Linked DNA regions of Rhinolophus ferrumequinum. The protein of the gene in region 1 purifies or fractionates together with the protein of each later gene. This does not show direct contact. Links are inferred from orthologs where the notes say so. Each region holds a gene or a part of one and is shown in the gene's direction. Other genes may lie near its edges. The genes, in order: FBXL13 and CETN2.

What was found.
Region 2: the proteins of FBXL13 (region 1) and CETN2 purify together in Homo sapiens (affinity purification with mass spectrometry; 3 studies listed by BioGRID and IntAct, counting the BioPlex papers as one, with this or other methods). This does not show direct contact. The link is inferred for Rhinolophus ferrumequinum from reciprocal best matches to the Homo sapiens genes FBXL13 and CETN2.

Annotation. Positions count from the first base shown.
Region 1 is NC_046303.1:46,929,592-46,944,669, reverse strand, and holds the start of FBXL13 (dynein regulatory complex subunit 6), read left to right. Parts: upstream 1-7,453; 5' UTR 7,454-7,744; coding exon 7,745-7,819; intron 7,820-15,078. Other genes in the region: ARMC10 (armadillo repeat-containing protein 10), read right to left, coding at 7,058-7,196. UniProt on the Homo sapiens protein: Substrate-recognition component of the SCF (SKP1-CUL1-F-box protein)-type E3 ubiquitin ligase complex.
Region 2 is NC_046284.1:7,305,121-7,320,031, forward strand, and holds CETN2 (centrin-2), read left to right. Parts: upstream 1-7,741; 5' UTR 7,742-7,878; coding exon 7,879-7,881; intron 7,882-8,611; exon of another isoform or gene 8,612-8,709; intron 8,710-8,818; coding exon 8,819-8,977; intron 8,978-9,300; coding exon 9,301-9,429; intron 9,430-10,766; coding exon 10,767-10,904; intron 10,905-11,359; coding exon 11,360-11,449; 3' UTR 11,450-11,548; downstream 11,549-14,911. Other genes in the region: NSDHL (sterol-4-alpha-carboxylate 3-dehydrogenase, decarboxylating), read right to left, coding at 789-860. UniProt on the Homo sapiens protein: Plays a fundamental role in microtubule organizing center structure and function. Required for centriole duplication and correct spindle formation. Has a role in regulating cytokinesis and genome stability via cooperation with CALM1 and CCP110.

The DNA of each region.
Region 1 (15,078 bases):
AGCCAAAGAATAACGAAGCACAGATTTTTAGAATAGAAAGAATGTTGCGGTTCATCCAAACCTCTCATTTTACACACCAGGGAACTGAAGCCAGGTTCATTTAAAGATCTGCCTAAAGTCACACAGGAATTGGTAGCAGAGACCACAGAAATGAAAATACAAAACTGGAGGCAAGTCACTTAACCTCTTTTTGGGTCTCAGGTTTCTCATTTGTAAAATAAAAGGGTTGGTCTAAGACAATAACTGTTCCAAAGGTTCCTATACAACTTTGAAGGTGTGTGATTTTCTACACAAACATATGGCAGAAATATGATTAAATTTAACTCATTCATACTTCTAAAACATTTCAAAATTTGATTACTTCCTAATACATTTTCCCACAAAACCCTCTAACATTTTTATAGATATGTAAATTATTTATAAATAGTCCAATAAAATTTTCTAAGGAAAAGTGTTTAATCATAGAATTTTCACTTGAAGGGAGGAAGTGCAACGTGTTTGTTGAAAGCCAAGGCTAAGGTGCCAGACTGTCTAGGTAGTTCTGATTCTAGATAAGCTACTTAACCCAAGCTGAGATTTAACCTCTCTAAGCCTGTTCCTTCATCTATTAAATGGGAGTTAATAGTGTCTGCTCAAAGGATTTTAATGCCTAGAATACTGTGAAGGCCTGGAATATTTTCATTATTTTTTTTATTAAGAGGACACACAGCTGGTTAATAACAAAACTGGCTCTAGAATCCAGATCTTTTCATTCCCAGTCTGTTACTCTTCCTCCTACGAGACCCCTGTTAATCTATTAAAGTGATGATCCTCATTTAAATTTTGTAAATAAATCTGAACTTCTCTGCTTGAATTTTTAATAAAAACCACGTTACTTTTTCAGATAAGAAATAAACCTAAAACTCTTCAACACTTTAGAGGATGGTGATCACCTGATACCTACCTTTTCCATTGGTAAAATTTTGAACTATTATACAAGTGAGGCAAACACGAGTGTCCGAGTTCTCCACTTAGCTTTGTACCAATAAGACTCTGAAAGAATTTTAAGCTCTGTGGTTCACCATCTCAAGTAAACAGAGGAGAAATTCCACTTCTCAAAGGAAATGAAAAGTGACTACCAAAGAATAACATTATAGCAAGACAAATTTCAAGATAATTGTCATAGTACAGAATCATTCCAACCAGGAACACAATATGCTTTCCTGTTTATGTAGCCTCATTCATGTTCTTCATTAAAATTATGTTCGTATAGGCTTCTTGCTAGATGTATTCAAGTTTTTATAGCTATCACGAATGAGATCTTTTCAGTTAAATTTATGCATTTGTTATTCCTTCCATACAAAAAGCTACTGATTTGGGTATATTTATCTTGCATTCGAGTTATTTATTAAACTCTTGTTGCTTCTAAAAGTTATTCAGTTGATTCTCTTGGATTTTTCCAAATAAATCATTATGTCATCTACTTATTATAATTTTGTCTCCTTTCCAATATTTATGCATTTTTTTTCTTGTGTTATCAAGCTAGCTATGACTTCAGGATAATGGTGAAGAGTAGCTGTCTCAGCAGGCACCCTTCTCTTGTTCTTGAATTTAGTAAAGATGCTATTAGTGTTTCACCATTAAATATAATGTTTGCTGTTTGGTTTTTGATGGATGCTCTTCATCAACTTAAAAACATTTCCTTTTATTTATTCCTAACTTGCTGCAAGTTTTTATCAGACATGATAACATTCAAATGTTGTTTTATTATGAAGTCATCGTGTTTTAGCTTTTAATCTAATAATGCAAAAAATTACATTAATATATTTCCCAACATAAATTCTCCTTACATGTCCATCTGGCCTTGGTATATTATTACTTGAATCCCATGATGGATTTGATTTGCTAATATTTTATTTAAGATTTTTATATCTTTATTTGTAATTGAGATAGATTTATAGTCTTTTTATGCTATCCTTGTCAGGTTTTGCTATTAGATTGGTGGATGAATTGCAACTGTTTCCATATTTTTTTAATGCTCTCAGTCTTAACAGTATAGGAATTACAAATTTCTTACACTTTAAGGCAAAGAAACGATCACCCAGTTCTGGTTCAAGGTGGTGATGTAGGAAGATAGTGAACTCACCTTCTCCCACAGACACATCGAATCTACAGCTACATAGGGGCGACTCCCTCTGAAATAAACCCAGAAACTGAGTAACTCCTACGGGGTTTTCCTGAAAATAAGCACCAGTTAAGATCTCAGCCAGACGGACGCATTCAGTATGTTATGACGATGTTCCAGAAGAAGATGACATGACTGTTTGAATAAATGCAGATCGTTGTACATGAAAAATAAGACATCCCCTGAAAATAAGCCCTGATGGACCAAAAATTAATATAAAACCCGGTCTTATGTTTGGGGAAACATGGTATGCATCGGGCAAATGAGAAAAAACCACACTGAAATAGGTGAAGAGGCTGAGACACAATCTCACCATAAACTCACCCTTGCTGCAGTGATCCACGATTGGGAAGAAATTCACAACTCACAGTTTCTCCCACAGGAGCGAAGGATTTGGATCCTACATCCTGTGCCCCAATTTTTAAGACTACCACCTGAGAAATGGGCCCCGAAAAATTCTAACTTTGAAAGCCAAAGAGGTGTGCGTCCACAAGACCCCCACGGCTATACAGCGAATTAAGGGACAGTTATTAATGGCTCCAGCAGACTCACTACGGCTAACACCCCAGGGCCCAGCAGAGGCAGTTCCCTGAAACCAGTTTTTCCCTGAAAGAGGTCTACTTGCTCATCTAAATAGCTGTGGCCTGAGGAGCTGGCTTCAATTTAACATACAATGGGAGCCCAAATGATTACAAGGAAGGAAATAAAGACTAGAGCAGAAATAAATGAAACAGACTCTTCTAAACTCATTTACAAAGCCAGCATTACCCTGATACCAAAATTAGACAAGGGAGCCATAAGAGAAGAAAATTATAGGCTAATATCCTTGATGACCATAAATGCAAAAATCTCAACAAAATATAGCAAACAATACATTGAAAGGATCATACACCATGATCAAGTGGGATTTATCCCTGAGATGCAAAGGTGGTTCAACATCCTCAAATCAATCAATGTGATACACCACAGTAACAAATGAAAGACAAAAATCATTTCATCATCTCACTAGATGCCAAAAAAGTAGTTGACAGTATTCGACATCCATTCATGTTAAAAAGTCTCAAGAAAGTGAGTAAAAAGGGAATGTGACTCAATGTAATCAAGTCCAGGTATGACAAGCCTATGTATCATACTCAATGGTGAAAAACCAAAAGTTTTTCTTCTAAGTTCATGAACAAGACAAAGATACCCACTCTTGCTATTTTCATTCAATATAGTACTGGAAGTCCTAGCCAGGGCAATTAGGCAAGAAAAAAAAAGCATCTAGATCAGAAAAAATGTTGCAGATAACATGATATTCTATACAGAAAATCCTAACGACTTCACCTAAAAAACTGTTAGGATACAAAATCAATATAAAAAACCAACTGAATTTCTATACATTAATAACAAATTATCAGAAAGAGAAATTGAGAAAACAATCCTACTGACAAATGCATCAAAAAGAAAACCTGGTAATAAATGTAATCAAGGAGGTGAAAGACTTGTACAGTGCAAACTATAAGACACTGATACAAGAAAATGAAGATGACACTAGTAAATGGAAAGATATTCTGTGCTCATAAATTGGAAGAATTAATATTATTAAAATATCCACATCACCAAAGCAATCTACAGATTCAATGTAATCCCTATCAAAATTTCAATGGCACTTTTTCATAGAAATAGAACAAACTATCCTAAAATTTGTATGGAACCACAAAAGACCCCAACTGCCAAATCAATCTTGACAAAGAAGAACAAAGCTGGAGACATCACACTTCCTGATTTCAAAGTAAACTACAAAGCTATAGAAATCAAAACAGTACGGTATTGGCATAAAACAGAGACAATAGATTAATGGAACAGAATTGAGAGCCCAGAAATAAACCTATACACATATGGTCAATTAATTTACAAAAAGGAGCCAAGAATATACAATGGGGAAAGGACAGTCTCTTCAATAAATGGTGCTGGGAAAATTAGCCACAGGCAAAAGAACAAAACTGGACCACTATCTTACACCATAAACAAAAATAAACTCATAATGGATTAAAGTCTTGAACATAAGACCTGAAGGCATATAACTCCTAGCAGAAATATAGGTGATAAGCTCCTTACATAGGTCTTGGCATGATATTTTGGATTTGACACAACAAAAGCAAAAATAAGTGGAACTATATCAACCTAAAAAATTTGAGAAAATATTTGAAAATCATGTATCTGATAAGGGGTTAATATTCAAAATACAGAAAAAATCCATGCAACTCAATAGCAAAAAGCCAAACAATCTGATTAAAAAGTGGGCAGAGGATCTGAACAGACATTTTCCCAAAGACATTAAGGTGGCCAACAGGTACATGAAACAGTGCTGAATATCAGCAAGCATCAGGGAAATGCAAATCAAAACCACAATGAGCTATTATCACCTCACACTTGTCAGAATATCTATCATCAACAAGACATGAGATAATGAGTGTTGGTGAGATGCAGAAAAAAGGGCGATCTTATGCACCATTGGTGGAATGTAAATTGGTGCAGGCGCTTCTGGAAAACTATGAAGATTCCTCACAAAATTAAAAATGGAACATATGATCCAGCAATTCTACTTCTGGGTGTTATCTGAGGAAAACAAAATCACTATCTCGAAAAGATATCTGCACTCCCGTGCTCATTATTTACAATAGCCAAGATAAGGAAACAATCTATGTCCATTGTTGGATGAATGTATCAAGTTTTATATATATATATATATATATATATCAGTCATAAAAAAGGATATCCTGCTATATGTGACATAACATGGATGGACCTTGAGGGAATAATGCTAAGTGAAATAAGCTAGACAGAGCAAGACAAATACTGTATGATTTCACTTATTCGTAGAATCTAAAAACAAACAAAAAAACCAAACTTCGATACAGAGAATAGATTTGATTGGTGGTGGTGGTGTTGTTATGGCTCCATGCATATAAAAAGGGTGAATGTGGTCAAAAGGTACAAGCTTCCAGTTATAAGTCTTGAGGATATAATGTGCAGCTTGGTCTGATTACAGTTAACAATATTGTATTATATAGTTGAAAGTTGCTAAGAGAGTATGTCTTAAAAATTCTAGGCACAAGAAAAAAACTATAACTGTGTGGTAATGGATGTCAATTAAACTTTTGTGGTGACCATTTTGCAATATATGCATACATTATGTTGTTTACCTAAAACTAAAGAATGTTATATTATGTCAATTACATCTCAATTAAAAGAAAGATCATCCTCTGAAATCCAAGAATGATGCTGACAAAATGGGTATTTATCAATCTTTTTCAAAAATGAAGGTGTAGCTTCAAGAAGAAGGGACTGTGAGCAACTTCATTCATTGTAGGCTGCCTGAATACCTAAGATATTTTGGTGATATGAGAAACTGGTAAAATTAAAAGTAAGATTTTTGTCAGTCGTCGTCAGTATAACTGAGAAGGTACCTGAGTCCAGGCCATCTGACCACTTACTTATACAGAAACATCTCTGACATAAAGACAACAAATTAGGCTTTGTAAGTGAGGGTAAATGCAAATCTTTAAAAAAAAAAAAAAAAGGATTTTTCCCTTGTGCGAAAGGGAAAGACCCTCCCCCCCACTCCCTTAGAGCATTTCCTCGAGGAAACTTGTAATTGTAATTCCTTTGTCTATCTCTTTGATATAAACATACATCTTTGTAAAACTTAAGTAAGCCTCTTGGCAGTTTGCAATCCAAGAAAGTCTTTCTTAGGGGCTTTGGGATCATTTGTTTGAAATATCAAGGAAGAAGCAGCTATTTCCTTGTCTCTGAATTTAGACTTGGCACCTGGCTCCATGTTATAAACACCTGTTTATCATAGAGATACTGAGAAGTCTTATTTTCCCTCTGGATAAAGGCAATTAGCTAACATAAACAGACACCCCAACTACCAGATGAACTATGTGTAGCAAATGCTGCTGTCAAGTTCTCTTAAGGACAAACTGTTTATCTCGAGAACATGTAGGTAATATGAAATAGGTTACATCTGTCTGGGTACCTAAAGGGGTGAGAACCCTTTCTGTCTTTGCAATCCCGTTTAGCAGACTGCCGGTGATGGGTGTAGCAACCAGGTTTAATGCTTAGTCCATAATAAAGCTACTTAGTTCTTTTGTACATCTGTAGAGAGGAGCTTCTTTGTTGGCAGGAGGTTTTATTTTTATTTCCCTAACAGCTTCCATGACCTGAAATATCCATCCAGAACATTCAACAAATTGTTTGAATCCTGAATGCACCAATCAACTTCTGGACAGAAACCTAATCCTGTACTTACTTGTCCGCCAGGAGGTGTTCCCTATGCAGACAACTGTTCCATTTTGAAATAGCTATTATCTACATCTATCTCCAGTATCTCTCTGCAATTTTGTATATATATGCACCGTGGTGACTTGAAGGTATCCTCCCCTCTCAGAGGCTGGGCTGAGTCCAGGCAGAACTGCCCCTTTGGCGTCCTTTCTTCCAGGGTAACTGCACATAGCATTTCATCTACTGCTCCAGGCCTCGCAACACCCCGTCCACAGCCGGGGAATCCCTCTGGTAACACAAAGGCCGGGAGCAAGCTTTAACGTGAGAGGCAATCATCCGCTTTTGCGAAACCTAATCCTCAGCTGTGACGCCGGACTCAGGTAGGAAAGTCTGACCAATAGTCTTATGCCAGGATTTTGAACAAAGAACTGGAAGCAGGGAAGCGGCTCAGAATCCTACACCCACCCAATCAAGTGGACAATCTGCCCACTATACCTGGACCTCCCTTCCTCCGCGGGCTCAGCTCCTTCTTTCACTCAGAGCACAGGCAAGCCACGAGCGCCTGCGGCGTCTCCAACCCCCACTCCTGTCCCCCCTCACCTGCCGGGCACCCCGTGGCCTCACCTGCAGATTGCGATGGACGCAGCCGAAGCCCGTGGCCGCCTCGCCGCTGGCCCCGCATCAGCCTGTAAATGCAGTAGCAGGCACCGGCCCCGAGGACCAGGCCCGCCGCCACCCAGCCCGCGTGCCGGGCGCCGCCCATGCTGCCGCTGGAGCCTGTGCGCAGCGTGGGGCCTGGAGCAGGAGGCTCGTGTGGGCCCGTGCAGGGGTCTCCGAGGCCAGCGGGAACAGCCGCCGCCCGAGCTGGATGGAGCCCGCCAGCCCCAGGAGAAAGGAAATGGGAGTCTGAGCTCCGCCTCCCGGAAACGGCCCTGCTGAAATTGTAAAACCGCCCACTCTGGCCCCGACGCGTCTGGGCAGCTCCCCCCCGGTGGGGCGAGGGGCTTGTAGAAGGGAGCTACACACACACCGCGCGCCCCGAGGGGCCACACCGGGACTGAACGGCCCGGAGGCGGGCTTCCCCGCACTTCCAAGCCCATTCCGCCGGGGCCGTAGGGCCGCCATCCTTCACGCCGCCCCGGCGTGCGGGCGCTCGGCTCCTCAGCAGGCCCGCCCCTCCCGCCCCTTCCGCCCCGCCCCGGGGTTGCTGGGGCAACGCCGGGACGCGCCAGCCGGGAGTCCCCGCGGCGCTCTGGCTGAGCCAGGAGTGGAGAGCAGGCCCGCAGCGCAGTTAAAGTGGGGCCTCTTGCCATGGCCTCGCTACGCAGTGCCAGCGCCAAGCTGAGAAACTACTTCAGGGAGAACTACATTCCTCAGGTCTGCGAGGTACTGGAGCCACTTGGCGGCAGACCTAGGAGACGGAGGAATCGGAAGGGATTTCCCAGAGGAGGGGCTAAGGTTTGGCGGGGAGGGAGGGAGTGGAGGGAAGGACGAGCGGAGTAAGACAATATGATGTCAGCCTGGGACAAGTAGGCAGTCTGGGCTGAAGATAGAGGTCCGAGAGGAGAAAACAGAGGGTGGCGGTGGCTGAAAGGGGTGGGGTGGGGTGGTGGTGACATCTTCCAGGCAGAAAGAGCACATGGCCCTGGAGAAGAAACCCTAAACTCCAGCTTTAAGGTTTGGACCAAAAGAGCCTGGGAAGAGGAACCTGAGGACTAGAGGAGTGGAAAGGAGTGCCCTAGAGAGAGAGAGAGAGAGAGGAGAGGGAAATCAGGAGAGTGTGGCTTTATGAAGAGAGTGGGCGACAGTGTCACCTAAGATAAGGACCTGATGGGATGTAATGGATTGGCCCAAGGTGAGCCTGGGGTTCCAATGGAACAAGGAAAGCAGAAGACAGGTTGAGGTTGGCTGAGGAGAGAGAGGAAGCTGAGACCTTTAGAGGGAAGGTAGCCAGCCAGCCCTTTGTGAAGGGAAAGACTCCCTGACTAGTATTGCCTTAAACGGGGAAGGACTGCCCCTTCCCCCCTTAATTATAACAGGAGGAAGGAGGACAAGATAGGGGTGGACAGATTTTGTAGGTTTGGGGGTAGGAAGCCAAGAAAGGTCTCCTCTGGTGACTTCTATTTTCTCTACAAATATTTGGTGAGATATTTGCCAAGAATGTGTATGTTTGGGTGGGGATGGGGTGTGCAGAGGGGTTTTGAGTAGAGAGAAGTTATGTGGAGAATGAGGGAGAGAGAATTTTAGGGAAGGACAAAGGAGAGCCTCCCTGGGGTAGCAACTCTCCTCTGCAGTTGGGAGGCCAATTTGGTACAGCTCGCCTCCTTTTGGGACGGTAATGTTGAAGTATTTATTAAAATGTTAAATACATCTACCCTGTGACCGAGCATTTCCACTTCTAGGGATCCACTTTGGAGATATACTTGCATATGTGCTCCGAAGGATATTCATTATAACTGTTCCATAGTGAGAATGGTAAACAACCTAAATGTGAATAAGAGAATGAGATATTATGTAGAATTAAGTATATCTGTACCTTTTGAGAAGAAAAGCTCTTTAAGACACATTCAGTTAAAAAAAGAAAAAGATAAAAAGGCAAGTTGCCCAACAAAGTATCTACTACAATCTGGCTACCTATCTGATTTCACATATGTATGTATATGCATGTATATATATGTGTGTGTTGATATGTATATGTATGTGTATGTACGTATAACTATCTATATTTAAGAAAATACATGCATAGAGCATATGCCAAACTATTAACAGCAAATGTTTTGGGGAAGGTTTTAGAGGAGAACCCTAATTTTTTACTCTGTATACATCTGTATTGTTTTAATATTTTGTGATGAGTTTCACTTATGTTTTACCTCTATATATTTGATAATATGTAGAGAGCATGGTACTCATCTTCCCAATTTGTGATTTTCTCAAGTAGCACTGAGTAATAAACCACATGTAGGTACAGAAATAAGAGTTGACTTCATCCAAGATAGTTTTCCAGGCGTATAGAATGGAAGGCAATGGTGAGGGAGCTACGCTTTTGAGAGTGCCTGACGTGTTAGGCCAAGGATTCTAAGGACCGCGTGGGAAATGAGAACAAGACATGGTCCTGATATATGGGTAGACAGTGGACATTCCTAAGGGGTGAGTGAAGGGGACGAGGGAGTAATTGAGTGAGGGAACTGGAAAAGTAGGCGGTAGGGGTCAAAAAGTGGAATGTTTTTGTGTTTAAGATTCAGGATAGAGCATTCTGAATAACGACTCAGTCCAGGTTGGCCATGGAGCAGGTCGCAGAAGTGGACTTGGGTTGAGGGTCAGGGAACACCAGGGAAGTGATAGCTTCTTCTCACTTTGCTCTCCACTTGCTATGACACTACAAAGCTGCCAGGGGCATCCCTGGTTCTTCTTCTGAAGGCGAGCACTTCCTCACCAGCCTCACAGCCTGTATTGCTCTGCCCCTAGAGAAAAGAGGCCCTCAGAAGTACTCCCCATTGCCTAAGATAATAAGCTCTTGAGGAACTCTTCACCTACATTGCCAGCCAGTGCAAGAGAGCAGTCCTTACACACTCACCTTCACCTGGTTACTCGCTTCCCCTAAGAGACTATCAGGAAGAATCCCACTGTGCCTCATACCCCCGTACATCTGTTCAACTGACCCAATTTGCCAGGCCTCACACTCTTCTAAAACCCATCTTCTGCAAGTTTTGAAATACATAATCTTTCATCACAGATTTTCCTGTACAGTTAACCTCTTTTGAACTTTACCTACCTGTCCTAAATAAAAGCTGATTGTCTACTTAGAATGTCATTTCCCTGCAAACCTCCTAAATAGAGGCTGATTTAAAAAAAATCTTGCTCTATTCACTGGGCTTACCTAGTCTGTTGATTGATATTTTCCATCAGTTTTAGAAAATCCTCAGTCATTTTCAAATATTGCTTCTACCCAGTTTCTCTTTCTTCTTCTGGGACTCCAATCATAAATACATTAGCTTTTTTTAAAACTTTGTCCTATATGCCCTTTTTGTTCTGTCCTGTTTTTTTTTCACTCTGTGCTCAAGTTTGGGTATTTTTTATTGATTGTCTTCAAGTTTATTGATTCTGTTTTATACTTTGTCCAGTCTACTGTTAAATACATCAGATGAGTTCTTAATTTCAGACAGTGTATTTTTCAGTTCTAGAATGTCCATTTGATTTTTTTATACATTCCAATTAAAATTCTGAATTCTTTTTATCCATTTTGTCTATCATTTCCTGTTTTCTTTAACATGTTAATTCTTGTTCTTTTAAAATTATTGTCTGTTAACACGATTATTTTGAATTAAATTCTTTACTAGAATTTAATCACTAGAATAGAATAAGTGTTCTTTATTAAAATTACTGGTGTGATTTCTGCCTCCTGACTGATATGGAAGGCTTAACTGGAAAGGGAAACAAGCAAACTTTCTGAGGAGTTGGAAAATGACGGGGATATGGGTGATAGAATTATATAGCTAAGATTTGTGCATTTGAATTTTTGTAAATTTTACCTAAAAAATTACAGTTGAGAACAGGTGGGAAATGGGTCAATATATAGTTAATATAAGAATCACAGATTGGTGATAATTGTTGAAACTAGGTGATGGGTGTATAGGGGTTCATTATACTATTGTTTATTTTATGTATGCTTGAAGTTTTCCATAATAAGTTAAAGTAAAAGACAGGCATAGCTGGGTGTTTTGGTTTTTTCCCCCCTCATTAAAAAAATGAATATAGTTTGGGATGGGTGGAATGACAGGCTTTATTTGGCTGTATAGTCGTTCTCTGTTTGCTTGTTGTATCAATTATTCATGGCTGTGCAACACAACAGCAAAACTTACTGGCTTAAAACAACAGGAATCATTTAGTTTGCTCAAAAATCTGAAATTCTGGCAAGGTCTTTCAAGGATAGCTTGTCTCTGCTCCGTATGGTACCATCTGGGATGGATCAACGGGGTTAAAGATCCCCGTTTGAGATGGTTCACTCACATGCTTGGCAAGTTGGTGCTGACTGTTGGCTGAGAGCTCAGCTAGGCCTGTGAACCAGGAGGCTTGGTGCCTCCATGTGGGCCTCTCTGTGGGCTGCTGGGACCTCCTAACAGTAGGGTGGCTCAGCTCTAAGGGCAAGTGTCCCCAGAGAGAACTAAGTAGAAGTTACATCACCATTTATGACCTAGGCTCAGAAGTCTACATAACATTGTTTTCACCTAGATTCAAGAGGAGGGAACATAGACCCCACTTCTTCTTCTTCTCCTCCGCCTCCTCCTCCTCCTCCTCCTCCTTCTTTATCTTTTAGCTTCGTTTGAGGTATACAAAACAATGTAATAGACATTTACACCTCTCACAAAGTGATAACCCCTCTCCCCCAATCTACTACCCCTCTGACATCATATATAGCTATTTCAATTCCATTGACTCTATTCCCTATGCTGTACTCCACATCCCGTGACTATATATATTTAATTATAGTTGACATTCGTTATTATTCAGTTAAAGCTTCAGGTGTACAGCACAGTGTAGACCCCACTTCTTGATAAGAGGTATATCAAAGTCACATTGCAAAAGGCGCCTGTGGGATGGGAGAAATTGTCATGGCCATTTTGGAAAATACAATCAGTCACACCTGGCTTGTTCATACACTGGGAATCTGGGATCACCTTGTATCTCCGGGCATTATATGAAGAGATAAGGTGCGGATCACAACAGTATCACCCAGTAAGTGACTCTTAACCCTACTGTAATTAACTCTTCTTAACTTTTCCTTTTCTATGTTCCCCAGGAGCAGATGCATACCGGACATTAACAAGTTCCTTACACAATATCTACTTCCCCCCTTTCCTCTTCTGAGTATTTCTTATACTTTTATTCCATAACCGACCTCTTCTCCTCACATCCCATGTGCTCCAGGAAAATCGACTATCGGTATCTCTGAGGTTGGACCCTGGTTAGCTTATGACAACCAGTGCATTCAATTTCCCAGGCCACAGTGTTTGTGGACATGGTGGGTGGTGGTGAGGATTGTGGGGGAAGGCAAGATAAGCTCTAAGCCAGTTTAGATCAGGTTGCTCGTTGGAATGTTGGGATGAGATATATCATCTCTGGATGTTCCTGGGGAAGCATGTACCCCTGGGAGCCACTGGCAGTTATCTTGTGTCCACAAGGAGAGATGGTTTTAGGTTGAAGTGGATTCTGAGAAAGGCAGAATGGGGAAATGGAAAGAAATCACGTCTCTAGTGATATAAGTAAGTGACTGGGTTAAACCCACCTGAAAGCTTGATCTACCTTTGGAAGTTTTAGTTGTAGCAGCCAATAAATTCCATGTGGAGTTGAGGTTTATTACTTGAAACCTAAAGCATCTGAAGCAATACAATGGGATTATTTTATTGTGAGATTGCCCGGGTTTGAGTCTTTGCTTGCCAATTATTAATTGTGTGATGTTGAGCAAGTTTCTAAATCTCTCTGTTTCTTGTAGTAAGATTCCAACTGGATGAGAGCCAGGCCTTTATTTTCTAGAGTGAGAGAAAGAGATTGTGAAAGGGAAAAACAGGAAAAGAAAATCACAAAATGTATCCTCAGGCAAATCAATTTTAGGATAGAATAATAGGGAAGGTGAGGACCTGGAAATGGATTCCTTTATACTATTCATATTCACACATCGGTTGGAAAGCCCTTGTGGATTCCTAGCGGTTTGCACACCCAGCTTAAAGAGGGCTGGATTATAGGTTCAATTTTTTGGCACCAGCCAGCCTTTTTTTCTTGGGGTATGGAAAGAACGGTCAAATAAGGAGGGTACATTAGACCATTCCATCAGCAAATACTTGCTGGTCATCCACCATCTGCTAGAGGAAAACATCTCAGCAGCTGTGACTCCAAAGATATCTCCAGTCCAAACGTTTCTCCCGAGTTCTCTGTGCATTTATTCATTGGTGTCCTACAAATATATTAAAGAAGTAAAAAGAAATAGGTGAAATTCATTTTAATAATATATTTTATTCAAACCAATTATCAAAAATAGAATCATTTCAACATGAACTCAGTACACGAGGTGTGATCAAACAATGTGGTGAATGTTTAAATTAAAAAAAAATTTTATAGTGAAAGACATATTGCCATTAATCTCCCTCAAAATACTCCCCCTCACTTTGAACACACTTATCTCATCATTCTTGCCACTTTCTGAAGCAGTTCAGAAAGTCCTTTTTTGTGAGTGTCTTTAGTTGCACTGTTGTGGCTGCCTTGATGTCCTGAATCATTCTGAGTTTGGGGAAGAGCCAGAAGTTGCATGGTGCCAGATCCAGTGAAGATGGATGAGGACACACCATAATGTTTTTATTTGACAGAAATTGCCGTATACCAGAAGCTATGTGTGACACTGAGTATTGTCATGATGGAGGATGACTTACAGCACACTTTAAAACACACCTTCTCTCAACCATAGCTCACACCTGACTGACTGCACTGAACAACTTGAAACTTGTCACACACTGTTACTAAGGTTCACGCGCCACTTCCCAACATCCCTGCCTTTCTGTTGGGTGGCACTCGGCAGAAGTGTTCACCTTATTTTGTGATCACAACAGGGAAAGACTCCGTGTCATACATCGCTTCTGGTACAGCAATTTCTGACAAATGAAAACATTACGGTGTGTCCTCATCCACCTTATTCACTGGATCTGACACCATGCGACTTCTGGTTTTTCCTCAAAGTCAAAATGACCATGAATGGGAAACATTTTGAATGGATTCAGGACATTGAGGCAGCCATGACAGCACAACTAAAGACACTCATGAAAGAGGACTTCCAGCACTGCTTCGGAAAGTGGCAAGAATGATGGCATAAGTGTGTTGGAAGCAAAGGGGAGTATTTTGAGGGGGATTAGTGGCAATGTGTCTTTTACTGTAATACATTTTAAAAAAATTTAAACCACTGTATTTTTTGATCACACCTCATAAAATCACATTAAGTCTTCAAAATTAGGTGTGCATCTTACACTTAGAGCACATCTCAATTTGGACTAGCCACTTTTGAAGTGCTCAGTAGCCACATGTAATTAGTAGCTGCCATACTGGAGCCCTCATGAACGGGATTAGTGCCCTTACACTGGAGGGCGCTGTGAGAAGATGGCCATCTGTGAACCAGGAAATGACTCTCACCAGACACAGAGTCTTCTTGCACTTTGATCTTGAACTTCTCCACTTCCAGAACTGTGAGAAATGAATTTCTGTGTTTTTAATCACCCAGTCTATGGAATTCTGTTATAGCAGCTCAAGTGGACTAAGGGAATAAATCACAGACTAACTGTTGGAGGGGTTTGTTTCAAACCATTAGCTGAGAAGGACTCAGGAAGACGTCTGGGCACATGAGTGGAGATTCAAGTGGCCCTCCTCCTATCTTTCTGAATCCCTTTGGGATTCCCTCTCTTTGAATACTACTGTATTTGCCTCCCTATCCCCATCTAAATGAGGCCTGTTCCAATAAAGGACAAAAATAATGTGTGGAAAAATCAGAGATGGTTGGTGTTCTAGTCTGTTTGGGCTGCCATAACAAAATATCATCGACTGGGTGGCTTAAACGTCAGAAATTTATTTTCTTACAGTTCTGGAGGTTGGAAGTCCACGATCAGGGT
Region 2 (14,911 bases), on another chromosome or scaffold:
AATGCCTACACAATTGAGATATGCAGGAGACTGAAGGGGTACCAAAGCCTTCTACAGGTCCACCCCTGCCACCCTGCTGTCCCACCTGGGATGACATTTTTACTGGAGTCCACTGGACATCTGGAGATGGCTCTGTGCCTTTAGCATCATTTCCCTTGGTATGATTACATTTCTGAAGTGTTAGCATTCATTAAAAGTGGATCGAAAAATCTCTAGGAGGCCTGACAATCCCTTAAAGTCCCTTTAAATATTCCAGACGCTAGACCTTAGGAGGCCTTGGTACTGCCCTTGTGGCCCCTGAGGAAGGCTTCTACCATTCCACCCAGAAGCCCAATCTAGCCTGTCTAGGCCATATGAAGGCAAACTGAGGCACCCAGCTGACAGCGGCAGTTACTGCCGGGTGTGTGAGGCCACCTGGAACATACACATGCGGGGGTCCCCATGACTGCAGCTGTGAGAGTGAGCCCAGGGGAGACCAGCCACGGACCTCCCAGCTGGGCCCAGCTGAACAAAGAAATGGGTGTTGTTTTAAACCACTGTGTTCTGACATTGTTACACAGCAATAAGTAGAGACATAAATTTTATATAAAAAAACAATACTCAACATTAATTGATTTAATAAATGTACCGAGTATAATAAAAGAACATCTTTAGCATCGTAGCTTTTCCCATGGCACTCACCGCATATAGTTTTAACCCACAGCTAACTATCAGTGGCTTCCTGGTATGTATGTGCTCAATTTGCCCCTTACCTGGTTTTGGCTAACCTTTTTTGTGTCGGTACTTACTTTTGGAATGTCTTCTGTCAAATGTGTCGCTGTGACCTGGCCTCTCATTGGCTTGCCAACTGCTTGTTCCATTTCAGCTCCAAATATGGTCCTGTAGCGATCGAGCCTTCTCTTCTTAAAGACATATTTAGAGATAGATATTCATGTTGTAAAAAGCAAAACATGCTTTAGCTGTTAGTGTTTGCTGTGAATGCCAACCCCCTGTCGAGTTTTCACAGAGCTGAACTTTAGCTGTGGCCCTTGGATGGAGCCCTCAGCTACCATTTGTGTGACGCAGGCTGCTGTCTTAGAAAAGGCCAAAATTGGGCCCATATCTCACCGTGTACTTGGACTGGAGGCACAATGGGAGGCCAGTTAAATAACCTCAGTCATTAGTTACAACAAAAAGAACATCTTGGCATCGTAGCTTTCCCCATGGCACTCGCGTGCTTCAGTTGCTCTCGCTTTCTCTTGTGTTGATCAGTAGACTGCGGCAGTGCAGTGGGAAAATGCACAGACCTAGGGAGCCCTGGGGTCCAGTCCTGGCCGGATGACAAACTGTGTAAATCCGCTCAAGTTATGTCTCTTTGCTGCAGCTCAGTTTTCCCACCAATAAAATGAACTAGGTGCTCAATACCAAGATACCAGGGCCTGGGATACTGGGAGGGACAGAGTGTAACAGAAGATGGAGCTCTCCTTCTTGGTGAAATTAAAGCCATCCTGACCACGCATGGAAGAGCCCGGAGTGTCTGGGGCCATCGTAAACCTCGGGAGACATTCGTGAAGCCCACCAACTGACAAAGCCCCACAATGACACCCAACAGGAGAACAGTTTATCATGGATCCCCTAACATCTGGAGACAGCGAAATCCTTGACAAGGCAAACAGTCAAACTGCTCACAAAACACTAGATTCACAGAACACTCTTCGGTGAGGAGGGGGCAGGCAGGCAGCCAGCACTGGGGTCTCCAACACTCTGACTAATCCCGTCCGATTCCACACCTTGAGTGACACACACACGGTCATGGTCATGTGTCCCTGTAGGAACTGATTTTGTGGGTGGCTAAAATGACCTTGAAACAGATGTTAGGATCCTCAGTCTCTGATGGGGCCATTTTGGGAAAATATATTTCTGAAATCATAACGAAAATTACGTGGAAAATAGATTTCAAACACTTCACTTTTTATAGGCCTTTCCAGAATGTATAAGTTAACCAGCCGTTCTATGCCTATCCTATCCCTCTTTTTATCCCATAATCCTCTTTGTGTGGGCTGGGGGCCCTGTTACCCGTGCACCGTAAACAGATGTGGCTGGGGAGCTTTGACTCATTTGTCTCAACGTGTATCAGCTGGGGAACCAGCGTTTGGGCCCTTGCACCAAGGCCTAGCAGCGTGTTAGTTCCATCTTATTCACCATGGTATCTCAGCATGAAATGTCTGTTGTTTTAAGCCCGCAGTGTGTAGTCATTTGTTGCAGCAGCCCCAGGAGATCAACACAAGTATTCTCCATAGTCCCGAAATCCAAATAGCACAGCTACCAATTCCATAGCCCACCCAAAGCCTGTGCTCCCTCCATCTCTAGGGGCGGATCTGGGAGGTGAAAGAAGAAATCCGTCCTGCCCCCATGGATCCATACCATTCAAACAAGGCTCATGCAATTCTCAGCAAACCAGCCTCTTGTGAAAACCCAAACAAAAGCACATCTCTGTTGTCTCAAATTATATACAAATTAAAGTTTGTAAATACTATGAGCCAGGTAAGGATTTTGGTGATACTTTAGCTGTTTCTAGGAGCTGGGGTACCCAGGACTAGCCTGAGGAATGAGTCAGATCCTACTTGCAACCCCCCCCACACCTAAATTCCCATGTAATATACACTCAGGTTAAAATAAACACCAAGAATAGCTCTGAATGAATAGATGGACTTTTCTCCAGAAAAGATGGACTTTACAGATGGCCAGTGAGCACATGAAAAGATGCTCACGATCACTAATCATTAGAGAAATGAAAATCAAAACCACAGTGAGATACCACCTCACACCCACTGGGGTGGCTATTATCAGAAACCAGAAAATAACAAGTGTTGATGAGGATGTGGAGAAACTGGAACCTTTGTATACTGCCGGTGGGAATGTGAAATGGTGCAGCCGCTATGGGAAACAGTGTGGAGGTTCCTCAAAAAATTAAAAATTGAACTACCATATGATCCAGCAATTCCACTTCTGGGAATATACCCAACAGCATTGAAACCAGTTTCGTGAAGACGTCTGAGGACTCCTAAGCTCACTGCAGATTGTTCACGATGGCTAAGATGGAAACAACCTCAATATCATGGACAGATGATTGGATGGAGAAAACGTAGTGTATACATGCAGTGGCATCCTATTCAGCCATAAACAAGAAGGAAATTCTACAGTATGTGACAACATGGGTGAACTTTGAGGACATTGTGCTAAGTGAAAAAAGCCAGTCACAGAAAGATATTTACTGTATGATTTTACTTATATGAAGTACTATATATATACATATATGTATCTGTAACTTATATATTAGGTTGGTGTAAAAGTAATTGTGATTTTTGCAATTATTTTTAACCTTTTAAACCGCAATTACTTTTGCACCTACCTAATATTAAAAGAGTTAAAGTCATAGAGTCAAAGAATGCTGGTTACCAGGGCTTGGGCAAAGGGGAAATGGGGAGTTACTAATCAATAGGTGGAAAGTTTCAGTTATGCAAGATGAATAAGCTCTAGAGGTCTGCCGCACAACATTGTACCTGCAGACAGAAGGACTGTCTTGTACACTGATACATTTGTTAAAAGGGTAGGTCTCATGTTCATTGTTCTCACCACAACAAAATGCAATACAATGCAATACAATAAAAAGTTCAAAAAAGGACAAATTCTGATGCACGCCACAACACGGATGAACCTTAAGGACATGACGCTATGGGACACGAGAACCTTGGGAAGATTATGCTAAGTGGACAAGCCAGACACAAAAGAACAAATACTGTACAATGAGTACTCAAATTCACAGACAGAAAGCAGCATGGTGGGTGCCAGTGGCGGGGGGAATCGGGGAGTGACTGCTTAGTAGCTATAGAGTTTCAGTTCTACAAGATGAAAAGAGTTCCGGAGATGGACAGTGGTGATGGTCGCACAACACTGTGAATCAACTTAATGCCACTGAACTATACACTTGAAAATGGCTAAAATGGCCAATTTTCAGTTCTGTCTATTTTACCACGCATACACTTAGAAGAACAGCTCTGGATGGAAAAATAAGACCCCAAAGAGCAATGTTCTAAGGACTGGGCTTGTTAAGGTTCACAAATCAGAAGCCTGAAGTCTTTCTCCTTTAAGACGGTAGGTCTTGGAATCCATTAAAAACCAGTAATGCATGCCCTCTTACACACACTGGGACAAAGTCTTAGGCGGAAAGGAATCTAGGAAAAGAGAACCACCTTCCACTGGTGAAATCCGAATGCCTCGCTCAACTTCTGGGCAAAAAGAGGAGGGCCGCTAACAGAATTCGATGAAGAGAGGAGCGAGTGAACCCAATCTCCTCCTTCCTGCTGGGAAAAGTTCCACATTACTGAGTCCCGGAGACAAAAGGAAGGGATAGTCTGTCCATTTCAAACCAGAGAGAGAAAGACGAGTGTTCCCTCCTTGTCTTTCACAGACCTGAGGTATGTGCAGGTTTCTGTCTATCATTTGTCTCTCTGCTTGTCTATTCGCTTGTATGACAAGTGACTTTGAATTTGTGGTGGCCACGGAGAAACCCATCAGCATGACTGTGAGCTTTAGCGTATACTGTTCCCTCCCCTCTCTGTGGTAAGACCTTTCTCATCCTTCAAGGCCTAGCTCCACTGTCACCTCCGTAAAACCTCCCCCCTCCAGGAAAGCTTAGCTACTTCCTTAGCACCTGTGTCTGCTCCCATTCTAGCACATCGCACAGGATTATACTTTTTTCCCCCCATATCTGTCTTGGCCCACTAGGCTGTGAGCGTCTGGAGTGCCAGCAAAGAATCGGGAATGGAATCTGGGTTGAACTGTGCTGCTGCGGCTGGTCTAAGAGGCTTCATCTGTAGAGCAGTAATCTCTCCTGCCGTCCTCAGAGCTGCTGTGGGGCCCAAACAAGCCCCACGGGTTAGAGCGGAGATGCAGCTTGTGAAAGAGCCTCAGGGTATCAGCTCGCTCATTCCTACATTCCATCATTCACAGGGCACCACAAGCCGGACACCGCCAAGCAGAACCTGCGTTAACACAGGGAGCTCGCCACCTAGCGTGGGAGACACACCTAGCAGAGCACTGTAGAAGTGCCCCTGAGCTCTGCTGAGGATAAACCCAGGTCAGGGAGCCTGTCCCAGAAGGCGATCCCTGAACTGAGCTCTCAAGGCCCCAGAGGAGTGAGTTAAGCGGAGAGGGTGGGTGCCCGGAAAACATTCCATGGCCCGGGGTGGGAAGGATGAGGTGACAGAGCACAGAGCCAGCATGTCTGGCAACTACGACAAGCTGTGTCATGGCAAGTGTGAAGCAAGATTGGGAGCAAAGTTGGGGAACACGCAGGGCTGTTTGTCAGGTTAAGGAGTTACCCAAGGAGGAGATGGGGAGCCCCTGGAAGTTGTAAGCAGCGTGAGTGAAGAGATCAGAAATATCCCTCTGGCTGCAGTGTGAAGGGATTTTAGCCATGGCTAAGCCTCCAGCCTCCAGGTAGGTGGAATGACAAGAACAAATCAGAGAAGAGAACTGATATTGCCTGAAAACCTGCTGTCAGGCCCTTGTACATATGACCATATTATACCATTAAGATCCAAAAAGTATCTAGTTAGGGAGACAGTAGTGGTCTCATTCAATAGAGTCTCAGAGAGGTCAACCAACTTGCCCAAAGTCACACAGCTCCTATAGGCCAAGGTAGAACTTGTGGTGGTTCCTTCTCCTCTGCCATGCTGCCACCTGCAGTCTGACTGGGAAGTAGGGTGTGGAGGGACACGATGTTAGAAGGACTAACGGGCAAAACAGGGCAGGCGGCTCGGATGCCAGGCTGAGTCTGGACTTTACTCTGTAGTCATGGGAAGCCACCGAAGGTTTAAAAGCATGGGGTGACCTGGCCAGAGCTGTTCACTGGGAAGATTAACCTGGCAAAGCAGGGAAGACTAGACAGGTGAGAAGCAGGAAACGGGGGGACTACTCACCAGTCTTTCAATTGAGATTTACTGAGCACCTAATATGTGCCCATCACTGTTGCTGGTCCTGGAGTGCTAGCAGTGAACAAAACAAAGATGTCTGCCCTTACTGAGCTTACCTTCTACTGGATGGACAATAAAGAACATAGCAAATAAGTAAAATATACCATAGGTTAGAAGGTGATAAGCACTATGGGGGAAAAAGCAGAGCAAGGTGGGTGGGGGCCTTGGGTGTGCTGGGGGCTGCAGTGCTAAATAGGCTGCTTAGGATGGCTCACTGAGCAAGGACCTGGTGCAGGGAAAGAGGTGGACCAAGCAGGCAGAAAAGGCACAGCCGGCGCAGAAGTTCTAAGATAGGAGTCTGCCTGTGCATTTGAGGCCCAGCAAGGAAGCCAATGTCCCGGGGCTGGAGGAGCCAGGGGAGACGTGGGGGCATGTCATACCAGGCCTTGCAGACCAAGGGGAGAACTTGAGCTTGAACTAGTTGGGAGTGGAGCAACAGAGGTGGAAAAGAAAATAAATGGCAGATAAGGGGGAGAACTGATAGAACTTGGAGGCTGGTTAATGGGGGAGGGAACAGAAAAAGAAAGGATCAAATATAACCAAAAGGTTTGGGACCTGGTTCGTGCTCGAAGGGGAAGAGGGCAAAGGGCAGAAGATCGGTGAACATTTTCATTTAAGGAATGCTAATAAACCTCAGGCCTTTCTTGGCCTGAGAAACTTATGCTGTGTCCCCTGCCTGCCTAAATACTGCCCCACTGCCCAGAGGGGAAGCAGGTAAATGCTGAGAGCCACAGAGCGCTCTTAGGCGGGGCGGACCTGGGCCTGCAGCTCCACTGCCGCAGCTCCATTTCAGCCCAAACCCTTGCACACGCCCCCTTGTAATTCTCCAAGCATGCCTCACACTTCCAAAACTCCTCTGCTACTTTGCTCATGAAGGTATCTCGGCCTGGAATGCCCTTCCTTTTCCGCCTTTGACTGGATGTCAGAGCATTTTGATGACCTCTCCCCCTCATGCTCACTCGTATCTCCTTCACTCCCTTCAAAGTCTATTCACCTTCCTGGGCTGCTTTTAGCTAGGGGAGAACTCAAATGATCCTCTCTTGGAACGTGGTCTGGGGGGCGGATGCTCTCAAAGGGACACCCTCAAAGAGCCACAGCTGGATTCAGCTTCTAAGTTTCAGCTGTCCGGACCTGTGCCACAATGCTTGCCATGTCCCTTTCCTTTTTCTGGGTCTCAGTCGCTCTGTGAGTAGCCGGCGCTCACCACCGCGGACACACTCCGCCGCCCATTGTTGCTACAGCCGACGTACACACACAACTCAGAGCAGTTCCCACCGACCCGCGCGGGCCGCCGCGCTCTCCATAGGTGACCTGTAAAGTTATGATCTTCTCTGACTCCTCTGAGTCCCTCTGACTCTAACTCAGTCTTAGGCCAGAGCAGAAAGCCCCGACCCGGATCGCCCCACCCAGCCCCTTGCCCTCCCGCCCAGTTGCCTACATAAGGCGGCCTCCAGGGGCTCGGAGGCGACACTTACCTGTCCCTAGATGTCCCACTGACCGGCCTCAGCGCGCCCGCAGCCAGCACCCGCCAAGCTCCCGCAGCTCGCCGCCCTTTTCTCCCCGCCCGCCTGAGCTGATGATCGCCCGACGGTCCTCCACTACCCCGACTGGCTCGGCTTGGCGTTGGCTCAGCCAATCAACTCTCGCGGCGCGATCCAGCCCAATGAGGCCAGGGCTCGGCTGCCTGAGCGCGCTCCCCGCCCTGATCCGGGCCTTTGTCGGTGTACTCCCACCCCCTCCAGCCCTGCGCCAATGGTGAGCGGCGGCAGCGAGCGGGTCAGTGCGCGCGGGTCGGTGGGAATTGCGCCCAGGCTGTGTGTACGTCTGTTGCCGTAACAACGGGCGGAGCAGTCTGTCGGCGATGGTGAGTGCCAGCTGCCCTGTCGCGCCCCTTGCCCAGAGGCCGAGCCCTTCTGACCCCGCCACCTCTCCTGCACCGTTCTCGGCTTTGGTGCGCCCCTGCTTCTATGATGTGTTTCCCGGAAGGGCTGGGAAGAGATGCCAGCCACCCTGCTGGGCCTGTGATTCGCCACTGCCTCCCCTGCACCCACAGCCGGCCCCCACCCGCCCTTCGGGCTCCCCTGGCCTTCCCTGCCCCCTCGGTTACCGGTTCCTGGGTGAAGAAGACTCAGGTTCCCCGCAGGGTCTGACCCCTCTCAGACCGTGGTCTCCTGGCCGCCTTGTGCGACCAAAGTTTCCGCACAATGCCGGGGGCGGGGGGGGGGGAGGTTTACGACGTTGGATTGTTAACTTGCATTTTAAATTTTAAGTATCGGGCCATTTGGGAGACGCATTGAGCTTTTTGGGGAAAGCACAGATGAGCCAAGTGGATTGAATTTTATTATTCGATATTGACAGAATATGCATCTTAATAACTTAGTAATATTTGGCTAAATCTAGAAGTAGTCACAAAGTCAGAATACTTAGAGGGAAGCGGAGTACCGCGAGTGGGCATTGTAAGGACATTTCTAGAATTAGGATCCCCAAATTCAGGGAGAGTTTATTATCTGTCCAGTTATTCATACTCCGCTCCTTGGCTAGCTAGCTCTCTTTACGGATGATTTCAATAAGGGATGTCCTTGTTTCTAGAAACAATATAAAGAAGAGGAAAGGGATAGAGCTACATGGAAAGATTCTTTGTTTTGCCCAGTAAACCCTACTATCTCTCCAGTTAAGCAAAGCTTCAGGATTGGTTGGTATAAACTATTTTTAAAACAGATATGGTTGTCTCTAACGATTTTATGCAAAATATGGACTGTGGTACATAATATGGTGCTTATGTGTTTGTAAAATGTCTAAAGGCCTCGAACTTTAAGAAGGCAAACATGGCATCAACTACCCAGCGAAAAAGGATGAGTCCTAAGCCAGAGCTTACTGAAGAGCAGACACAGGAAATCCGGGAAGCTTTTGATCTCTTCGATGCTGACGGAACTGGGACTATAGATATTAAGGAACTTAAGGCAAGCCCTGTGCAATCCTACTCGCTGCCTTGCCTTTCCTCTGCCTCTTTGGCTTTTTTCCCTGTCACTGCTCTACCCCTTCTGCCCTCTTCTCCCTGCAAAAAGTAACAAGGGGAGAATGTGCTGTGCTCTGTTTTCCTGTCTTTACTTACCCCAAGTGTTATTAAGTAAAATGAGTGCAAATATCAATTTGCTTAATGCTCCAGTGTTTCCCAATTATTTTCATGTGATTGTGTCAGGTGCTGGCTTAATGCTCTCAACATTCATTTTTGCTCCTGCTCGGTTTCGATGAGCATATTGAGATGATCCTCTTTTCATTGTAGGTGGCAATGAGGGCCCTGGGCTTCGAACCCAAGAAAGAGGAGATCAAGAAAATGATAAGTGAAATTGATAAGGAAGGGACAGGAAAAATGAACTTTAGTAAGTTTCTGACTGTGATGACTCAGAAAATGGTAAGTTAGCTAAGAAAATCAGCATATTTCCCACCCATAATGGACAAATTTGAATCTCGATATGAAAATGTCTTCATTGAAGGAAAGTTAATACAAACTAGAGAGTTCAGCTGATAAAAGATAGTATTTGTGACTGAGAATTAAGATGTTTTTGGTTCTGCTTGGCTTTCTTGAGGGCCACAAAATCACAGGAAAAGTAATTTTACCCTCTGTAAAGTAGTGAACGTATACTGCTGTCACATTTTTGCTATTGTCTTTCCCCAACTGAATTGTCAATGTGATAACCACAAGCAGTAAAACCTATACACGCCAACAGCATTACAGTGTCTCGCATTTTGATAAGACAAAGTTCCTATATTTTAAAGTTTGAAATTCTTTTCTTTCCCATTTGTTATTCTGGGCAGCCTTAGCTTGAGGATGTGTAACTTCAGCAACCATGCTTTTAGGCTGCGCTGGGGATTTGATCTTTCAGCACTTCCAAGGTTAAGTTTACCCATTCTCTAGTGTCTCCGGTGTCCCTCTTTTAAAGGGTCCAAAGGGTCAAGACAGACTATAAGATGTCACCCCAGCAGCCCACCTCACTGCCCTGTCATCCCACCCAGGAAGTATGTTTCCATTGGGCCATTGCTCTTTCTTTGGCCTCCTGGCTCTTCCTCAGTGTGGCTCACCTGTGCTCCACTGGTCTGTCGAGACAGATACTGAGTAGTAACTCCATCAGTGTCTCAGGTGTGTTTCACAGGGCACAGATCGGTTCCTACTCTAATAACTCTGTTGCTTTGAAATCATCTAATTATACCTATATTTTTCTTCATGGACTAACTTAAGAGATCAGAAAGCTTAACATTCTGTCACTACCTAGTAAAGCTGTCCCACATTCAAGGGTGTTCCCGAATTGCTCTTATTAGGGGTTCTCTCTATCTTTAGCTACCTTTCAGGAATATTGGGAGTTTGAGCTTTTAGCGATTTTCCTCTCTTCCTCTGTTGGAGGACTTGGGATCCCAGTAACGCTATATGATCTCATCACAAGTAAAACAGCCTTCTCTTTGCTTCTTGACCCCTCCACCAAGAGGATCCCTCTTCCATCAGCTTAAGGAGTATATTCTCCCCGATGTGAACTCCACCTTCTTCTGTATTTTAAAAACGAATCCAGTTTCTCTTTGGTTTGTACAGAAAGAATGATGTTTGATCTCCTGTGACCTAGGACCTCTGTCATAAAGACCACCACCATGACCACGTAATGATGTAGGGGCAAGGCAGAGAGGCTAGGCGCTGTGGGGCTACAGGACTAGTCACTGCGGTGTTTCCCTACTCATATGTTTTATGTTCTACTTGTTAAGTCTGAGAAAGATACCAAAGAAGAAATCCTGAAAGCTTTCAAGCTCTTCGATGATGATGAAACTGGGACGATATCCTTCAAAAATCTAAAACGTGTAGCCAAGGAGTTGGGCGAGAACCTCACTGACGAGGAGCTGCAGGTTTGTAGTGTGTCTGACTGGAATGCAGAATCCCTTCTCGGAGCCCTGGGTGACTTTTCTGAGTTATACTCTCTTGGATGTGAGTGCCACCTTGAAGGAGAACTAGTGTTTTCTTGTCTTTGTGCTGACCATTTAATTTCTCTTCTGATGGTGTGACACTCCTTATGGACCCTGCTCCCAGAGAAATGCACACATGGACAGTTTTACTTATAAGTTTAGGTTTTAGGAATCCCCCTAGTGAAGATGACCTTTGGGCTCCGTTCTAGGTGATATGCGTGACAAACTATGACTTGGACTTCAGATCACTTTCAGGAACCACGCTATTACCAAAAGCAGCACATTTGCATGGGATGGACTACAGTTGTCTATTCATGTAGCATGATAAGAGCCTGTTGCTTAGTCATGTTTTCGTTTCATTTTGAATTGATCTGACCTGAGTCCTTATTGTCACGCAGGAAATGATTGACGAAGCGGATCGAGATGGAGACGGAGAAGTCAATGAACAAGAGTTTCTGCGCATCATGAAAAAGACCAGCCTTTATTAAGATTGTTCTCTCCTTTTCTATTGCAAGCACACATAACTAGATTTCGTGCCTGCCATTGTGTGAAACCTGGTTTTCGAGAATAAAAATTGTTTTCTTTCCCCACCGACCTCCCTGTGTAACCTTAGTAACAACCTCAAATCTCTTTTCGATTTTGGAAAGTGTTCTTTGACAGTGAAGTTCTTTGTGAGGTGGCCTGCTGGTCGCTTTAATTCCCCAAAGCAGAGCGCGAGCACATTACAGTGGAGAAAAGGGTCTTAATACTTTTGCCCACCCGCCGTTCTGCCTTGTATCTGTTCACTCTTGTCACACATTCCCATGTTTATGCCACCACAGAAGGACTTCTGAGACAAGCACGTGTTTTACCTGTGTCACCAGGCAGCCAGCATCTTTTCAATGGTTCCGGTTTTAACTGACACCTGAGTGCCGCTTTCTCTTTTACAAAACTCCAGTGAACTCTCTCACTTGCATTTGGAAGTGTGTGTGTGTGTGTGTGTGTGTGTGTGTGTGTGCTATTTGTTTTGTCTTAAAAATAAAGCCTTTCTTATTTTGAGTTTTTGTTCTCCAAGGATGAGTTCTTTAAACTTGACTATGAGTAGCTCTTCTAAACCATTGTGTTGAAGGCAGTCTGGTAAGTCCCAAACTCCTTACTCCCAACTCCTTTTCAGCCTGTGGGCAGAAAAGGAAATAACCCTTTGCTATTGGCATGAATTGGTTCTTGCCTTGGGAACCCGTTGGTGTGTAAAACTAGTAGAATTTCATTTCACGTAAGCCTAAAGGATGCCCTAAAAATAGTTTTGGCAAAGTATAAGACCAAAAAAGAGTTATTGGTAATTTATGCTTGGACAGATCAAGGAAAGCAAGGTTATGATGACAGTAGGTTGAATTCAGCCAAACTCTGCTCAGTGTCCTTGCTGGATGGTGTCTCAGAATCTTGGTGTCAGGTTGGGCTGAGTGGTCAGTTCCTGTGGGGCTGGACCAGAACGATGGAGGGGATAGGAGGGATGGGGACGGAATGGTAGGAGAGGTCAGTGCAGGTGCACATGATGCAGAGGGTGGGAGAGTGAGCAAAGGGTGATGGGGAGAGAGGGAAGCTCACGTGGGGCTGGACCAAGAGATGTAGGGGAGATGGGAGGACAGAGAAGTAGAACACGTTAGTTCCTGTGGGGCTAGGTCAGGGAGATGTAGGGGGCGTGGTTGGGGAGGGAGGGAAAGGAAGGGTAGGTTAGCTCAGGATGGTCTACAGAGGTGGAGGGGAATGGGCAGGGAGAGGGAACGGGACAGCCCTGTGGTTGTGCCAGAGAGATGTCGGGGGAGTAGAGTGGGGTGGGGGGCAGGTAGCAGAGATCAGTTCAATTAGGGATGGACCAGCAAGATATTGGGGACTGAGGTGGGACTGAGAAGTAGAGGGACTAAGGTCAGTTCACGTGGGCAGGAAAGTGATTAGAAGGAGGGGGAGGAAAAGGGGGCAAAGGTTAGTTCATGTGCAGATGAACCAGAGCTGTAGGGGCTGGGGGGTGATGGGGAGCAGGACGGAGCAGGTGTTACTCCATGTTCAGCCCCAGCAGAGAGTGTAGGGGGATCAGGGATAATGGGGAGGGAAAGGGCACAGAGGTCAGTGCATATCGGGCTGGACCAGAGAGGAGTGGGGAGTGGGTGTGGGATCTGACACAGAGCACCGACATCAGTTTATGTAAGGATGAACCAGAGAGCTCCGTGGGAGTTGGGGGGGCGGGGAGAGAAAGGGGGAGGAGAGGTACTTGCATGTGGGACTTGGCCAGAGATATGAAGGTGGAATCCATGGGGATGGGAGCAGAGGTCAGTTCCTGCAGGTGGGGCAGAGAAAGACAGAGGTGTGAGAGGGGTGGAGAGAGGGGGGGCAGATTCCGTGTTGGGTTGGGTATTGGGAAAAAGAGGGAGCCGAAGTTAGTTGATGTAAGATGGACCAGAGAGAGTCATAGGGAGGTGGCAGGGATGTAGATGGAGAGGGAGTGGAAGTGCCTTTCTATAAAGCTGGTGCACAGAGTTGTAGGGGATGAAGGGGTGGAGATGGAGAGGGAGCTGGCATCTTCAGTTCCTATGAGGATGCGCAGAGATGCCGGGAGATGGAGGGAATGCAGCTTTAGGGGAGAGAAGGTGGGAGGGATGCGGAGGGAGAAGAAGGCAGTTGCTGTTGGGCCTGTGGTCCTCCCCAGTAACTCAGGGAAGTCCTTGAAAGAACTCTCTGGTGGATTAGTCTTTTCTTTGCTCCAAAGTGTTTCAACTACTAGGAACAGCTGGATTCATTGGTAGCGATAATCAGGCTTGAAATAAGTCAATTCTAAGGAAGCTGTTTAAAGAACGGAAGTAGCTCAATTCTTGTCCCCTTTTAGACATGGAAGAACTGCTGGACCAGACTATTGACTGGATATTGAAGGGCGGGAATGCACATTGACTGTCCTAGGGGGCGCTATTGAGGTCCTTTCACTGTCAATCAGATTTTAAATTCTTGTTTTTGTCAAATTTTCAAATGCTAGGACTTGGGGCAGCACACTCAAAGGGAATAATACACTCCAAACAACTCTTTACTAGTTAGTGATTACAAGTCACAGCTCCATAGAAAACAGCCACTGGTCATCCCACTACACACTTAGTCCGTCTTCTGTTTGACTAGAACTGCTTGCTCTCCAGTGGCACTCCCTCACCAAGTTCAAGTTCTCCCACAGTCCAGGAACTACCCCTTTTGGAGCCCCCCAGGGCCATTGTGATAAGTGTCTCACAGCAAGTGGCAACCTCTTCCACTCCATGTCTCATGACATGCTCAGCTCAACGTCCTATATTCTTGAAGTTGCTGGAATAGTGTGCATCTTCCATTGCAGCAAAAGCAATCAGTCTGTGTCTAAAAGCAATCAGTGTCTAAAATTCTCACAGGGATTCTGGGCCCATTTCAAAAAACATCACTACCAGAATTTGATGTGTCTGGAAAACAAGTTACGTCTTTTCTAGTTTTCCTCCCCACTGACCCTGTCTTCTCTCCTGAGCCTCCCCTTAACCACCTTTTTCTTTCTGGTTGCTAAGTTTAGAGGCTCATCCTTTCCATTTCCTTTCTCCTGTTTGCCCTGGACGTCTAGGGTGTCATCCAGCTTTCCCTACAGTAGTCACTCTGATCCACCCCTTCCTTTTTCATTTCTGAACCCACCATCTGAAATCAAATTTGGATATTTGTGATGTCCTCTTAGCTGCTTTCTCTGTCCTGTCTTTTCCCAAGGTGATCTGTGGTACAATTTCCTCATGGCACTATCTTGCCAAGGAAGGAGCCTGGCCTTCAGACTCACTCATACCTGGTTCAAATCCCAACTCTTCTACTCAGCAGCCGTGTTTTGGGGGACATGACTTAACTGTCTTGAGCCTCAGTTTTCTCATCTAGAAAACAGGGGTGCTGTGAGGTCAAAAGAGCTAACAAACGTCAGGTGCTTAGCTTAATGC